Linked DNA regions of Mus musculus. The protein of the gene in region 2 interacts with the protein of the main gene of each other region in a pairwise test. Links are inferred from orthologs where the notes say so. Each region holds a gene or a part of one and is shown on either strand. Other genes may lie near its edges.

The links.
Region 1: the proteins of Creb1 (region 2) and Tssk4 interact in binary tests that used the Homo sapiens proteins (3 or more experiments, as listed by UniProt). The link is inferred for Mus musculus from reciprocal best matches to the Homo sapiens genes CREB1 and TSSK4.
Region 3: the proteins of Creb1 (region 2) and Pogz interact in a two-hybrid assay, tested with the Homo sapiens proteins (2 studies listed by BioGRID and IntAct). The link is inferred for Mus musculus from reciprocal best matches to the Homo sapiens genes CREB1 and POGZ.
Region 4: the proteins of Creb1 (region 2) and Crtc1 interact in binary tests that used the Homo sapiens proteins (3 or more experiments, as listed by UniProt). The link is inferred for Mus musculus from reciprocal best matches to the Homo sapiens genes CREB1 and CRTC1.

The regions. Positions count from the first base shown.
Region 1 is NC_000080.6:55,648,743-55,653,027, forward strand, and holds Tssk4 (testis-specific serine/threonine-protein kinase 4), read left to right. Parts: upstream 1-1,441; 5' UTR 1,442-1,606; coding exon 1,607-1,831; intron 1,832-2,156; exon of another isoform or gene 2,157-2,158; coding exon 2,159-2,373; intron 2,374-2,472; exon of another isoform or gene 2,473-2,609; coding exon of another isoform or gene 2,610-2,716; coding exon 2,717-3,110; intron 3,111-3,376; coding exon of another isoform or gene 3,377-3,421; exon of another isoform or gene 3,422-3,523; coding exon 3,524-3,706; 3' UTR 3,707-3,797; downstream 3,798-4,285. UniProt on the Homo sapiens protein: Serine/threonine kinase which is involved in male germ cell development and in mature sperm function. May be involved in the Cre/Creb signaling pathway. Phosphorylates CREB1 on 'Ser-133' in vitro and can stimulate Cre/Creb pathway in cells.
Region 2 is NC_000067.6:64,531,468-64,535,658, forward strand, and holds the start of Creb1 (cyclic AMP-responsive element-binding protein 1), read left to right. Parts: upstream 1-1,336; 5' UTR 1,337-1,553; intron 1,554-4,191.
Region 3 is NC_000069.6:94,836,001-94,840,252, reverse strand, and holds the start of Pogz (pogo transposable element with ZNF domain), read right to left. Parts: upstream 2,817-4,252; 5' UTR 2,513-2,816; intron 1-2,512. UniProt on the Homo sapiens protein: Plays a role in mitotic cell cycle progression and is involved in kinetochore assembly and mitotic sister chromatid cohesion.
Region 4 is NC_000074.6:70,391,014-70,394,573, forward strand, and holds part of Crtc1 (CREB-regulated transcription coactivator 1), read right to left. Parts: exon of another isoform or gene 2,674-3,560; intron 2,043-2,673; coding exon 1,909-2,042; intron 1,151-1,908; coding exon 848-1,150; intron 291-847; coding exon 189-290; intron 1-188. UniProt on the Homo sapiens protein: Transcriptional coactivator for CREB1 which activates transcription through both consensus and variant cAMP response element (CRE) sites.

The DNA.
Region 1 (4,285 bases), on a different chromosome or scaffold from region 2:
CAAAATGGCAAGCTTCCAGTTCATTGGGAAGGCTATAAGGAAGTGTGACGGGAAAACACCCAATGTCCTGCTCTGGCCTCTGCATGCGTGGGCACACGTGTCCACACATAAATGCATCAACTGTAGGGGAGCAACAGGCTTGCAAGTGACCAGTTATTTGATAGAGGGTTGTGCTAAGTGGGAATGGCAGTGGGCACAGAGATGTGAATGCATTGTTTTTATATGTATGGTGTATGGGCAATTGTGAGTATAAGAACATGCACCTGTATTCATATGGAAGCTAAAGGAGGACATCAGATGTCTTCCATCACTCTTTGCTTTGTTCCTTTGGGTCAGGGTCTTACTGAACATGAAGTTGGCATTTCTGGAGTAGGTGAGAAAGTCAGCAAACTCCAGTGATGCTCTTGTGTCCACCTTACTCAGGGTTGGGGCTGCACCTGGCTTTTTTGTAGATGCTGGGACTGAACCCAGTCTTTGTGTTTGAACAGCAAGATCTCTTAACTGCTGAGTGATCTCTCTCTAGACCCTTCAAGGGCTTTATGAATGAAAAATAGGTTAAAGAGACAGGATTTGATGATACCACACATTGGATGTAGGCACCAAGGCTGACAGTGCTGGTATGATATTTGATGTCTATGTTCAGGACAACATGGAAGTCTTAGAGTAGGAAATAGTTCTGTTTGGGATATGAATTTGAGGTGTAGAGAGAAGATATGTTCCTGTAATATTGAGTAAGCAAATAGGCACGATCTTGAACTCCAGTATCTGGGGGTGAAATCTGCACAAGGAGCCATCAGAATAAACGTGAAATCTGGAGCTTTGAGAGTGTGTGAGAGCCCTAGGGGAGGATGTGAGAGTCTGAGAAAAGTAAGCTTGAGATTGCCCCATAGACGGAGGGACTGGGGAGATGTGGGTTGATGGTAGAGTGCTGGCCTTGAATACACAGGACCTAGGCTTAATCAACAGTGAAAACAAGACAAAATTGAAAACTGGAAACTGATGCTGCTCCAGTGGATGAGTGACTAAATGGATGGGAAAACCCAGGAGCATCCCGTGTAAAGCAAGAACACAGGTCAAGACTGAATGCAGACTGTGCTTCAACACCGCAGTCCTGTATACACCCTGACATGTTTCTCACGCTGGATTATAGAAGCATGGGTACTCTGGGGACATTGTTCATTAGTTTAACATAGTATATTCTGCATATTATATGCCACATGGCAGATACTCAGTAACATAGAGGAGCCACAGAGGGAACTTACCAGGTTGTGTAAAGTGCCTTTTGTAATGAATGTGTTCCGAACTGCACTTCATTTCAAGCTTTGTGGCCAATGATGAATAAAGGTGTATGGAACTTGGGACCTTGGAAGTTCTGTAACCAAGATATGGAAGTAACAACAGCCAGCCAAGACAAAAAGAATGTTCTTTTCTTTCCCCTTCCAAGTTCTTAGTGAAGGGCCGAGCCCAGCATCCCAGCCTTGTGTGACTTGGTAAACACTGGGACCCTAACTTCACTTCAGTACCCTCCCTTCAGGAGCTCAAGGTGGCTTCTCCGTAGACAGAGGCTTCTAAGTATCAAAGCTCCCCACTGCGCAAGCCCAACATCATGGGGAAGGGAGACACCTCGGAAACAGCATCAGCCACCCCAGCCTATCGCTCTGTCATGGAGGAGTATGGTTATGAGGTGGGCAAGATCATTGGCCATGGCTCCTATGGAACTGTCTATGAGGCATACTACACAAAGCAGAAGGTCATGGTGGCTGTCAAGATCATCTCGAAGAAGAAGGCCTCTGAAGACTATCTCAACAAGTTCCTACCACGTGAGATACAGGTCAGAAAGGGAGCTGAAAGAAGGAACTTAGGCTTATTAATAAGCTACTTGAGGTATCTTAGGGGTATAACTATGAAAGGGTGGCTCCAGAAACCTCCAAACCAGAACTTAGGAAACTTCTGTAACTTATATATATATATATATCCTCTTTCCTATGTGCAAATATTCAGCTCACTATCCAATGTCCCCTCAAGTAAAAATGCAAAATGGGATTTACCCAGACACCAACAGATTCTGTTTCGAAGTAGTAAGTAGCAATGGGAGAGTGGAGAAAGGCCAGCACGGTGGGAGTTTGCCAGGTTTGATGGTTCCCTCTTTTGGAATCAGGTAATGAAAGTCCTACGGCACAAGTACCTCATCAACTTCTATCAGGCCATTGAGACCACATCCCGAGTATACATCATTTTGGAGCTGGCTCAGGGCGGTGATGTCCTCGAATGGATCCAACGATATGGGGCCTGTGCTGAGACCCTTGCTGGCAAGTGGTTCTCCCAGATGGCTTTGGGCATCGCCTACCTGCACAGCAAGGGCATCGTGCACCGGTGAGGATAGTCACCGGACTGGGCTTTGGGAATCTTAAGGGAGTTTTATGCATATTGCCCATTTTCTGTCCTTTTCTCTTGACTTCTCTCAATATCTAGGTCCATTTGTTCACCATATTGTAATCATCTGGTCAAGGACACTTGTATCCACTGTGTGAGAGCACTTTATACACAATGGTGAACTAGTGGTCCTCAGGTACCATCCTCTCTCCCTTTTGGGCTCTGCTCACAACTCCATGGCTTTGCTTCCCATAGACATCTCACTCCCACTTGTCCTGTCCTCATCTCTAGCCTCTGACCCCTTCTTTTCAGCTCCCGGTCTAATACTAAGCCCTCTCCCCAGCCTGACCCCCAGCCTTTCTGCTGCTGGTAGGGATTTAAAGTTGGAGAACCTGTTGCTGGACAAGCGGGAGAATGTGAAGATATCGGACTTTGGCTTCGCCAAGATGGTGCCTTCTAGCCAGCCTGTGCATAGTAGCCCTTCTTACCGCCAAATGAACAGCCTTTCCCACCTCAGCCAGACCTACTGTGGCAGCTTTGCTTACGCCTGCCCGGAGATCTTGCTAGGCTTGCCCTACAACCCTTTCCTGTCTGACACCTGGAGCATGGGCGTCATCCTCTACACTCTAGTGGTTGCACGGCTGCCCTTTGATGACACCAATCTCAAGAAGCTGCTGAGAGAAACCCAGAAGGAGGTCACTTTCCCAGCTAACTTGACCATCTCCCAGGAGTGCAAGGTGCTGGCTCCCCCAGGAGGGCTGAGGCCTTAGGGATGACCCATGGAGAGGGGAAAGGAAATACCAAATTTAGGCCTTCCAACTACATTCTTCCTCCCCCCAGGGTTGGCTTTTGTCATGCCAGAGCTCCTACTCAAAGTGGTGGCAAGGCTTTAAGAGGGTCAACCACTGAGCTTCAAACCTTAAATATGCTTGGTAATTAGGTCCCAGCAATGATCCCTTTAGGGCAAAAGGGATTATGCAAGAGCTCTTCTCTTTTTTTGCAGGGCTCCAGCATAAAACCAGGGCCCCAGCCCCTTTCACCAGAGTAGTGCGATGGGCCATCCTGCTTCTTCCTTAGGTCCAGCTGCTCAGTGCCTGTGCTCACAAAGTGGGGGCAAGCTCAGCCAAGCCCTCTCTCTCCCCTGCCCTAGAACCTGATCCTCCAGCTGCTACGCCAATCTACCAAGCGTGCCACCATCCTAGATGTCCTCAGGGACCCCTGGATGCTCAAGTTCCAGCCTGAGCAACCTTCGAATGAAATCAGGCTGCTCGAGGCCATGTACCAACCCACCAGCTCTGCTAAACGGCACCAGTCCTTGGAAATCACAACCTGAAAGTGGCTGAGGCAGGAGGCCAAGGAAAAAAGCAAGAAAGACTGGGGGGAAATCTTTTCTATAAAATAAACCTAATTAGTTTCACCACGTAGGGTCAAAGGCTTTCTTTCCTTGAGAGTCTTCGTGGAGACCACTGCGTAGGGGTAGATTTCTGCCCAGAGCCTGTAACCAGTACTCTTGACACCTGGGACAGTTAATGAAATTGACTTGGGGAAGCCTTACTGTGCCAACTGAGTTTGTGAGTTTGAGGCTCTTATTTCACATTTTTGTTCTCTAATGTTCTAGTGGCAGATGGGACGGGGGTGGGGTGGGGGATGAAGGTGGAGGGGGGTTAGTTTTGTGTTGACTTGGGCTCTGCCCATTTCCAGTTGAAAGCAATGGCATCATTCCATCTGTTCTGTGTTTGCTCCTAACTTGGGTAAAAGTTTTCACTGGAAAGCAGAGTTAACAAAAGGGAATGGGACGGTCTTGGCTTCTGGGTACCTTTTCTTTTCTCTCCAGTATCACGTTAACCACTACGGAAAGAATGGCAGTGATCCAGGGCTCCTTAAACCACAGCTCCTAGATACCAAAGGAACA
Region 2 (4,191 bases):
GTGAAGAGGGGAGAGAGTGTTTGGAAGAGTCAAACAGCATCAAATGCTAGGATGGTCTTGAAAATGCAAGATGCAAAACTACATAGACAGGAAGACTGTGACAATTCAGAGCCACTGCAAATGGAGAGAGACAGTAAAAGACAGGTGGAACTCGGAAAGGAGCTTAAGGAGGAAGTTTCTATATTTTATTTATTGCCCACACATACTACTGTGATGTAAGTGCTGAGGTCAAAGGACAACTTATGGGAGCTGGTTCTCTCCTTCTACCACGTGGGTTCTCGAAATTGACCTTAGATTATCTGGCTTGGTGGCAAGGGCCTTTATTCATCTCACCAATGCCACAAGAGTCTTCTTAAAGAGAGGAAGAGACGTTAGCATGCTAAAAGTTCTGGTTAGAAACAAAAGAAAATTAAGCTACTCTTCAGTATAATGTCCTTGGGAAAGCGGGAACGGCTAGGACACACGGAATGAAGGCAAGCTCAGTGTTATAAAACGTCAACAAGGGCTGGCGTCCAGCAGGAACAAAACTATAGGAAGAGGGCTGAACGGCACAACAACAAAAGGTGAAGAACTGGCGGTTAGGGGCAACTCAGAGAGCAGTTGCGGTAGCTTTGAGGCTACGGAAGTCACACTGTCAAGTTCTGGGGTGCAAACGGTGGAAGCCACGCCGCAGCAGCGTGCCACCGCTGCAGAAAGGGCTGAGAAAAGTCAGCACAGGATGTCGCGGGCAGGTAGGGTGGGGATCTGTTTCAAGTGTTGAGAGCAGCATGGCTGATCATTTCTCCAGCCTCAGAGGGAGGACGGTACCCAGTACCTAGGGGCTCTGGCTGGCCGCAAAGCGGAGCTGAATCCCCACATGCCACCTGTGCCATAGCTTTCTTCCCAGCAAAGAACCAGCTCCGGCCCGGCAGACTCCCCTGGCCGGTAGCCGGCGTCTCCAACCTTCCAGCGCCGTCCGCGCGGCTCTGGGCCCTCGCGGCGCGTCAAAGTTCCCGGGCGGTCTGCTTCCGCCGCAGGATCAGACCGCGCGGGGGTTTCCAGCAAGTCCCCGCCACCCCGGGAATCCCCACACCACCCCAAATCTGGCTACACACAAACCCCGCTTCCTCCAAATCTCCTCAGCTGGCGTCCGAAGCCTCCACCCGCCACAGTGAGGCTCGGATCGTGCCTCCAGAGCGGGTCTCAAACCGCCTACACCAGCTTCCCCGGTCAACCCCTTCGCAGCGCCGGGAAGTAGCCGAAGGCCTTCGGCAGGTTCCGCCAGTAGCGCGGGGGCGGGGCCTGTCGAGCGGCTCCGGGTCGAGCTCGGCTGTTTCCGTGAGTGGCCGCTGCGCACTCGGCACTGGGCGGCGCTGGCTGGCTCCCTGGCTGCGGCTCCTCAGTCGGCGGCGGCTGCTGCTGCCTGTGGCCCGGGCGGCTGGGAGAAGCGGAGTGTTGGTGAGTGACGCGGCGGAGGTGTAGTTTGACGCGGTGTGTTACGTGGGGGAGAGAATAAAACTCCAGCGAGATCCGGGCCGCGAACGAAAGCAGTGACGGAGGAGCTTGTACCACCGGTAAGAGGAGCAGGAGGAGGAGGCAGGAGCCGGAGAGAGCCGGGGGGACAGAGGGGGGCCGGGGAGGCGCCGGACACCCGCGCTCGGGGCCTTCCCCTCGCAGGAGGGGCCGCGGTAAAGATGGAGCCTCCGCCCGAGCCCCACAACACCGCCGCCGCTCGCAGCGAACAAAGAATAATGGCGGCGGACTGGAGCCAGCGGCGGCCGGGCGGCAGCGACTCTGCCTGCAGCCAGCGGCGGCGCTCATGGCGGGGGGCGGCCGGGCCGGGGCGGGGTGCGAGCGAGCGGGCGGCCGGCCGCGGCAAGCTGGCGCCCGCGTTCCCGCCGCCGGGCCGGGCCGGGCCCGGCCGTGCCGGGCGCGGAGCCGGAGCCGGCGCGGAGCGGAGCCGCCCCGGGGGAGGCCGCCCGCCGCCGCCCCCCGTTCCTCGCCGCCGCCGCCCGCCTGCTCGCACGCTCGCTCGCCCCGGCTGTGCCGGGCTGGCCGCCCGGGCCGCCGCCTGGGTGCCCGTGGGGGGTGGAGGAGGAGGAAGAAGAAGGAGACAGTTGAGGGCAGAGGAGGTGAAGGTGCTGCCGCCTTCGCGGCGGTGCCCGCTCGGCGAGCCGCAACGTCCGACCTGCTTTCCTCTACAGCGCTCTTTGTGCAATAAAGTTCGAAACCCAAGGTTTTCTCTGGTGCTGTATTTTATTCTTGCCCCTCTCCCCGGCTCCCACGCGGTCGGAGAAAATGCTGTTTTCTGCCCTAGGCTGTTTTAAGGGTTTGGGGTTTTTTGTTTTTGTTTTGTTTGGTTTGTTTTTGTTTTTTGTTTTTTTTTTACTATTTCCCTCACCCCTCGGCTTTGAAGATGAAGAACGAATCAGTAGTCCTGGGAATGCATTCTTTTGGGAAGGAAAGAGGTGCTAAGAAAACATACATGTAATAACTTTTTGCAGAAACTGTTGGGATCTTGTAAAAGGGAAGCTGGTGCTTGAAAACAGTTTCGGTTTTAACCCTTTCCACTAAGATAATGATCACTTGAGGTCAATCATTCTGAAACCCTTAGAAATTATCGAAGGGGAAATTAGTATTAGCGAAGGTACTTTTCGTTTTCTGTCATTTGAAGGGAGGCAGTCTTGCCAAGGTTTTTTGAGTCATCCGTATCTCCCCTTAGCCTCTGCCATGCTCCTCACACGCTTCTGTCTGAACTTTAATGGAGGATTGATATAATTCTCACTCTAAAAATAGTTATTGAAACTATCCATTATTTGTATATTGCCGTAGGTAATCCCAGCCTGAGGTTGATGGCAGTTTAAGCCAGCAGGGGTTGTGGTGTTCCTTTTTTTCCTTCACCTAGAACATCTGCAAAGGGGACTGTCAAAAGTCATTGACACCTTAAAGATCCAAAGACATTTTTAAAGGGCATTGCAGTATGACCTATTTAAACCTGCCATATCTTCTCAAAGTTAAGAGTTTGATCCTAGCCTCAGTTTTGCACCACATCTGCCTTCAAAAGATCTAGCACAAAATACCTTTGGGCCATCTATTGAAATCTTGTGCCCTGATGATCATTTCCCAATTGAAAAGCAAAGCCCAAAATTTTAGTTGATTTGAAAGGTGCACAGTTTTTTATATATTTGGGGGGGGGGGTTGCTTGTTTCTTTTACAATACAACCAGTTACTGTACCATTGAATTGTGATTGGTCCATACAAGGCTTTTGGTTAGGAATAAATATTGATTGGTAATAGAACCATTGTGTTTGATTTTTTTTCTATGCGTCAGGACTCTGAAACTTGACAAGTTACATTGCTAGTCTTTAGCACTCCAATTTGCAATTGTTAAGAAAATTAAGATGCAATAGAAGGAGTTGTTTCCATAGGGTTGAGAAGATGATTTTGTTTCCACACAGTGAAGACTCTATACATGGTAATGTTGATGATAAAATAGTTTTTTCAAAAGATTTTCTACAAGCCAATAGTGATGATACATGAGGATGATTCTTCCCCTGTGAGAATAAAAAAAAATTCCTATGTGTCCTTTCTTCAGTGTTGACCAAAAGATACTTTAGGTTTTATTTATGGGATCTTTTATGGAGAATCAAATTGATTCTCAGCAATTGCAAGTGAAACTTGGAACACTTTTTGTGTGCATTAATTTTCAAGCATTCACCTGGAACCTGACAATAAATTACAGTTCTCTCTTGCAGAGGTCAGTGAAAGTTCTAGCACGGTGTGCTTCCCTCCTCTTCCTCCTTCCTCTCCTTTAGTTGTTTATTTTTGATGGACCTATGTATTTTAGAAAGCTAATGAATTATTTACAAAAACTTACCTAATGAATACTAAGTGAGCATTCCTTTGGAATTTAAAACTAGTGTTAAACACTTTTGAACAGAATTTCACACAAGGGCCTGAAGAAACAGACCATAATATTCTTTTTTCCTACCCTCAGATACTCATAGGGATTTTAGTTTTCTTAGAGAAGTAGTTTTGTCACTTGTAAAGCCCTTGGGTTTGTTTTTTTAAATCTCATATGCCTTTTTTAAAACAATAGAGAACATTGTTTACTTGTGACAGTGCTTATACGATATAAAATGTTTATTACAAATACGTTAGCAGATACAGCCATATAAACTCACCTGTTATACATTCGTGTGAGCATCTTTC
Region 3 (4,252 bases), on a different chromosome or scaffold from region 2:
CTGTAGAAGAATGCTCAGTTCTACATGGAACATCTCTATGGCCCACTCTAGGTTCAGAGAGCATCACAGAGAGGTGCAAAAGAATGCTAAGAGCTGAAGAACACCTGAGAGTGCTGTGGAACACTGGCATGCCCTCTTGAACTCATAGCAACTGGGACTGTCTGCATAAACCTGCTCAAGACTATGCCAGCACGCCAACATGAAAGGAATATATAGTCAGTTAATGGCTGCCAGGGTAAGAAGAGATAGTGTCTTCATGTTAAGTTGCCCTTGTTCCTGTAAGCAACACTAATTAAACTCACTAGGTCCCCCACACCCATGGCCAAGATATGCAAGTAGGAGAGAACTTGGGGGAGGGGATCAGCAGGAGTGGGAAGGTGACAAGAGAGTAATGTGCTGTTACTATGATAAAAATACATTGTGTACACATACAAAAATGTCATAAGGAAACAATTAAAATGCATGAAAAACTTTAAAAATACATCCATATGGGCCTGGAGAGATGGCTCAGCGTTTAAGAACACTGACTGCTCTTCCGAAGGTCCTGAGTTCAAATCCCAGCAACACATGGTGGCTCACAACCATCTGTAATGAGATCTGACTCCCTCTTCTGGAGTGTTTGAAGACAGCTACAGTGTACTTACATATAATAAATAAAAAATAAATCTTAAAAAAAATACATCCATAGATAATACAAATGCTTTATTCATGCCTTTCAGTTTTATTAGATTCTTAAAAACTAAAGATATATTCCAAAGCTGAAACGTAACAATTTCATGCTAGTTTCATGCTGCCATTGCTCCATCAAGGCCATTCTCAGGTAAGCACACCGAAATCAGGGGCTTGCTTTTACACATCATCACTGCAAAAGTCATGGGAGACACAAAAAGCTTTACTCATAATTCTTAAGGTCTCAAGACGCCCTTGAATGGTGCTGAGGTGTACTCCAGGCTCAGCTAACCACAATGGGTAAACTGCTTTCCTAGATTAGAACCTAGTCAAGATGGGAGTGGCAACTCTTAAGCCCACCTGTTCTCCTCCAAGTCCTTTCTATTTTTATTTCCGTTTGACATACCCTGACAATACAGGGAAGGGGACAGAAATCGAGGGCACAATCTAATTGTTTTAACACTATATTTTGATCACCTTCCCACATTAGCAATACTCTTTAATATACTGATTATCTTAGTTGCCCAGTGTAGATAAAGATGATACTAGCCCTCCACTCCACCCCACCCTCCAAAAAAAAAAAAAAAAAACCTTTTAGGCACAAAGTCCTTAAACTTCACGTTTAATAGCCTCCAAAATGCTTGAATGCACCCTAAAGTTAAGAATGACGACAATAAAGAAGTCATCCCAATTTCCTCCTTCCAGAACACGGACGGGGTCCAACTGCCTTGTCACCGTCCAAGAGGAACAGCTGCCTTACTCCTTTCTCGCTTCATCTGGGGAAACTGCTTTTAAAACCTCATCTTTGTGGCGTTTTGCGCTACAAAAGGAGGTGAACAGGTGTGGAGAAAAGGCTATCTCTGCACTGTTGAAAAGACATTACAATTCAATCTCCATGTCTTCCTAGAGAACGAAAAGGCCAAAAAGACTCTCAGCTCTCTTACTAAAGGCTTAAGATAAGTGAGAAATGTGCAGTGGTATTGACCCTTTGCAAGAATTCCACAACTCAGGAGAGGAAACCAGGACCATAGGCAGACACAAGGGAAAGCAGGTGGCTTGATGACATTACTCTTTTTCAGAAGGTGTTGAAAAATCTAAAGAAAATAGTCCTTGGGCTAAATATGGCGCCTACAGCGGCAGGACATAATCACCAGAAAATAGATTCTGCCCCATTCCATTTTGTAAATCACAGCGCCATCCATGCATAAATTTGGGGGCCGAGGGAGGAGACTTCCTCAACTAGCTGCAGAGGCTTGGGATGTCCTCGCAGACGGAGCGGGATTACATAACACAGGGGACCGGCGGGGCAGCCACTCGCTTCCCTCCTCCCGCTCAAAACCAGCGCTCACGCCTCCGCGCGTGGGGGCGGCGGGAACCCCGGGCTCCACCGCTCCGCAGCTGCGGCCCCGCGTGCCCGCGCCTCTGCAAACTCCCCCCCATCCCCGGTGACCGCCGCCGCCCGCGCCGCCCACTCCTCCGGGACGCTCGCGCCCGGCGTGCCTGTGGACGTCCGCGGTGCGCGGCCGTGGGGGCGCGAGCGCGCGCGGCACCGCCAGGGGGGCGGGGGCAGTGGGGCATCCCGGGGCCTGGGCCACCGTCGCCGGGGCGCGCGGCTCCGTGGCCCGGGTGCGCCGCAGACCACGTGCGCGNNCCACAGCGCGCGCTGCCGTGGGGCGGCCGCCACTCGGGGGCCGCGGGGGCGCGCTCGGCCCCTCCCCCAACCCGCGCGCGCGCCCCATCCCCCTCTCATTGTCTCGTTTCGGAACGCCTCGGCCCAGCGAAAAGATAACGGAACCCCCGGGAAAAGGGGGTGGAGAGCGCCGGGGTTCGCTCGCTCACTCACCTCCCGTGGTCGTCGCCGCCGGTAGTCTGACCCGAGGAAGGTGCCGTCGCCTTAAAGGGACCTTGCACCCGGCGCCGGGAGTAGGGGGTGGGAGCAGGGGAGGGGACCGGGGTTCGGGGGGGAGACGGGGAAGAGGGAACCGTTGAAAGCTCCTCTCCCCGAGGGTGAAAGGAAGCCTCCCTCGGGTTCGAGTGATTGGGGTGGATTTTTTTCCCGAGGGGGGCGGGGGGCCCCGAGGGAGGGGGTGGGGGGGCCAAGGAATGTGGCTCCGTGTATGGGAGCTGGCGCGGGGGAGAGAAACGCCGACTCCCCCCACCGACCCTCTCGCCCCGCGGAGGGATACCTCTCGTCACTTCCGCCCTCCCCTTCTCGTGCTCTTTCAATTGGCTGGCTAGTACGCTACGTCATCGCTCATCCTAACCCTTGTCCGGGCTTCTTTTCTAGTCAAGTTTGTCTGGGCCTGCAAATAAATAAATAAAGAAAAAGCTTTCATGGAGAAAAGAATAATTAGCTTCACAAACAGTTTCCAAATTTTGCTGAGAAAAATGACACTACCAAAGAAAATATCTCATAATATACTTTCTTAGACTTTCCAGACAAATTTGCACTCTCCCTACTTTCTATTCAAGGTTTATTACCAATTCAAGAGAAAAACTTCATGCCACAAGCAAAATGGTGAGTCCCAATGGCACCAACAACTGTTGTTGCAACAAAAAGCAAGATAACACTCTACCTTAAGAGACACTTGTCTGAGTAACCTTCTGTGACAGTGTGCCTTGTATAAATGAAATACTTTTTTGGTTTTGAGGTTTTGTTTTGTTTTTCTGCTTGTTTGTTTGTTTATTTGAAACAGGGACTTTCTACAGAGCCCTAGCTGTCCTGAAACACACCAGATAGGGCAGGCTGGTCTCAAACTCAGAGATCTACGAGTCTCTGCTTCCTGGGTACTGAAAACTAAAGGAATCACCACCACACCTAGCTAAAGAATTGTTTTTAAAACCTATTTTATCATCAAGCCCTTCTGGATTCTGGGGGAGAAACCTCGTGATTATTAAGGTCATTCTACCGGCGGGAACTGCTTTTGAAACCATTGTGCATAGACTCAGCAGAGATCTCCAATCTCAGAAACCATAGATTCCATGGCCCCGTTGGATTGGCTCAAGTAAATTGATTAGTCCATTCAAGATTATCTACCACTTTTCATACAAACAAAAACTAACTTCTGGTAGCTAAGTTTTGTCCTTCATTATGTCCTCAGATGATAAAATGCAGTATTTCCCTTGGGTTTTTGAGAATGATCTTTAAGCCATATATTGATACTTGCTCCAAACCAAGTTCTAAACAAAGTTGCTTGGTACAGGAATGGGTAGATCCAGAGCCATACTTATTCCTTTGCATATATTCTCCAAACTGCCAGCTAGTTACTTTCATCCAGCGAAAGATATCTCATCAAATTACACCACGTTTTGTTGACCACAACAACCATAATCACATCCTACTGAAGACATTTGATACGCCATTATTTCATCCAATATTTATTGTATATTTTTCATGTTTCAGGCACTGTTCTTGGTGCTAGGAATACAGTAATAAAGTCCCGGGGCTGTAGAGATGCCTCAGTAGATAAGAGCTGTCATTGCTCCTCTGGGTCATAATTCAGTTCCCAGCACCCTGAACTCTGCTCATAACTGCCTGTTCCTCCAACTCCAGTGGAGAGATACAGTGCCCTCTTCTGGCTTG
Region 4 (3,560 bases), on a different chromosome or scaffold from region 2:
CATAGGCCGGAGCTTCAGATTCTATGCCCTGGAGCTGTTCTGGTGTCCTGAGAACCGCTGAGCCCGCCTGATGGGGGCATGACCCCAGGCTGATGGAGGACAGATGGCATGGTATGGAGGACAGCACTGGGGAGCACTGAGCACATGGGACACACAACGTGGCATAGGGCCAGGGGAAGGGGCCTTACCTGTGGGGAGCTTCCAGGGGAGAAGCCTTGGTTGGAGACCGGAGAGGTGGGAGACTGGGTGGCAGGTGACCCTGCACTCGTGCGGTACTGCAGAGCTGGTGCCTGTGATGACAGACAGTTCATGCTTTACTGACTCCTGACTGGCCCAACAGACCTGAGCCGGATGCCTGGACCCTCAATAATGGATGCCACACAGGTAGTCACTGGCTTGTGAGAATCTGAGGTGGAGATGTGACTGTAAACCTGGCTTCTCAGGGCAAGCACACACAGAGGACTACAGGGCCCACCTGGAAGCCACAGCAGGGCTCTGGCTGACGCTAGGCCTGACCCTGTGTAAAGCTGATGGCATCAGGCACAGTGCCCTCTGGATGCACCTGCATACCCCTGACAGATCTGGACATCAAGACTGTGATCCACACACTCCTAAAAGCACAGTACATGAACACACATACAATTGGCACTCACCCGCACAACCCTAGTCATAAACAAACCCCCGCTCATGAACACACACCCACTCATGAACACACATACCTCACTCATGAATATGTATACATCATTCATGAATACACATACCCCACTCATGAACACACCCACCCACTCATGAATACACACACACACACACACACACACTGAGGGCCCAGGAACCCCCCTAGGCTTACCGAAGTGGCATCGATCCCCATTGGTGACTGGCCTGGGTTCTCTGTAGGGGACTGGGGAAGAGTGGATGGTACAGTAACTGAGAGTGGTGGCAGCTGGGGCCCCCGAGTCAGGCTGGCACTGGGCAGCAGTGGACCACCCTGGGGGAGGCCCACAGACACCTGTGGAGGTGGTGGCTGCTGCTGGGATACCGGTGGAGGTGGAGGCGGTGGCTGGGGCTGTGGGGGAGGCTGCTGGGAGCCAGTCTGGGTGAAGAAGGCATAGGGCAGCTGCTGCTCCAAGGACAGGGCATCCATAGCCACGGCCTGCAGAAGACAAGGATGAGGAAGAGGCGCTGGCCCATGGTAGCACAGTCTGACCCCCACAGTCTGTTCTCCTAGAGCAAGGGAGCCCAACTTGTTGAGGGTGGATCTCACACAGGAAGTAAACAGGGAGAGACCCTGGGCAGGGGTACCACTGTCATGCAACACTTGGGGGCTGAGGCAGGAAGGTCACTGTAAGTGTGGGGCCAGCCTAAGCTGCAGAATGGGTGTCTGTCACTCCAATGCCTGCTGATGGCTCTTGGGCCACTCCAAGACCATTAGTTTTGCCAGGAGCGGTGACACGGGAGATGGGATCTGAAGAATGATGAGTCCAAGGTCATCTTCATCTACTCAGTGCTACATAAGCCTTGTCTCAAAACCAGAAATATCATAAAATACACATTGCAAAAACACTGATTTGTGTAGTTTCTGTTCAAACTTTTGTTGATAAATGCTACAAACAGAGCTGGAGAGATGGCTCGTTAAGAGCACTGGCTGCTTTTGCAGAGGACCTGGGTTCAGATCCCACACCCACATGGTGGCTCTTAATCACCTCTAACTCCAGTTCCAGGGGACCTGACACCTCTTGTCTCCAAGGGAACCTGCATGCACATGGTGTACATAAATTCACTCAAGAACACACATACACATTAAAAATAAATACATACATAAATAAAACTGGTTTTTTTAAAAAAAAGACCAGGCCGGGGAAGGGGAGGGGCTGGTAGATACCCGTGTTCCCACCCACCTCGCCCTCGCACCTGAGTGATGGGTGACAACGGAGACAGGGTGGGTGACACCTGCTGGGCCTGCTGCCGCCTGGCCTCTGTGCTCAGGGACAGGGGGCTGACGACTGCTGGCCGGTGCTGTGGAGAAGAGCTGGGGGTGTTCATACCTACAAAGGAAAAGGGGGCTAGGGACAGGTGGCCATACCATAGCCCAGCTGCCAGGACAGAAACCCGCTAGAGAAGCTGTCTGTGGTCAAACCTGGGATGGGGCTCTGAGGAGGGACTTTAGTAGTCTAAGAAGGGCATGTCCCATGGCCCCAGCCAATCAACACTGTTTCCAAGTAACCAATCAGAGCCCATCTTGGGATCTTGAACATTATCCTAGGAAGTGCTGCCCACAGTTGGTAGAGAGAGTTCTCAGTGACAGGGCCCTCCCTGGTGGAGCATATGTAGGTATGTCTGCGCGCGCGTGTGCACACACACACACACACACACACACACACAAAACATATATATTATATAGTATGAGAGCATTTTGTCTGAATGTGTGTCTGTGTACTATGTGTGTGCCTAGTGACTGTGGATGAAAAAAGAAGGCACTGTCACCCCTGGAAGTGTGAGTCACCATGTGGCTGCTGGAAACTCCACCTGGGCCCTCTGCAAGAGTAACAACTGCTCCTAATCTCTGAGCCAACTATCCAACCTCCTTTTATTTAATTAATTTGTTTGTTTGTTTCTCTGTGTAGCCCTGGCTTTCCTCAAACTCACTCTGTAGACCAGGCTGGTCTCAAACTCACAGACATCTGCCTGCCTCTGCTTCCCAAGTGCTGGGGTTAAGCAGATGCACCACCATTTTATATTTTTGAGATAGGTTTACGTGTAGCTCGTGCTTGTCTCAAGCTGGCTATGAATCGAGGATGACCTTGAACTCTCGAGTCTCCTGCCTCTGCCCTGAGTCCGAAGGTGACAGGCATGAGGTAGTTTCTGCAGTACTAGGGTTCAAATCCAAAGGCTTTGTGCATGGTAGGCAGCACTCTGCCAACTGAGCTATAAGCATTGTCCCTGATGAGCTTCAAGCTACTGAGCTGTTATTATTACTTCATACAGGGCTAGCCTGGAACTCACTAGGTAGCCCAGGCTGACTCTGGTGTCAGAGCAATTGCCCAGCCTGTTTCTCAGCACAGATCTCAGGACTGTGCCATCATGGCCCATCTCCCTTTCTGTCTTGGCTTGGGAAACTCGATCCTATGGGAGGTTGGGTTTCTATAACACCAGGGCCCTCCCGTGTTGTTCCCCAAGCTTGTTCTTTCCTGTCAAGGCATTTCTTGATGACCTAGTGCCCTTCACCCACATCCTTCTTTGGCACCCTCAGGATGATGAAGCCCCCCTTCCCAGCACCCCCTTCCAAGTCTGCTTGAACTGAAACCAGAATCCTCACCACCCTGCCCTGAAGTAACAAGCCTGCACCCGCCAGGCCCCTTCTCTAATCCCTGCCTGCCCCCAGGGATCTGATCCCCGAATGCTGAGGTGATGAGGGACCTGGGTGAGATCCAGGGCACTGGGCAGAGTGGGGGCCTGCAGCCTCATCCTGGGCCCCAAACCAAGTAGGCAACAGGCTCTCTGATGACAGGGGAGCCCTGAGGGCCCTGCATCTGACACCCCCCTCCCAGTTACTAAGACACTGC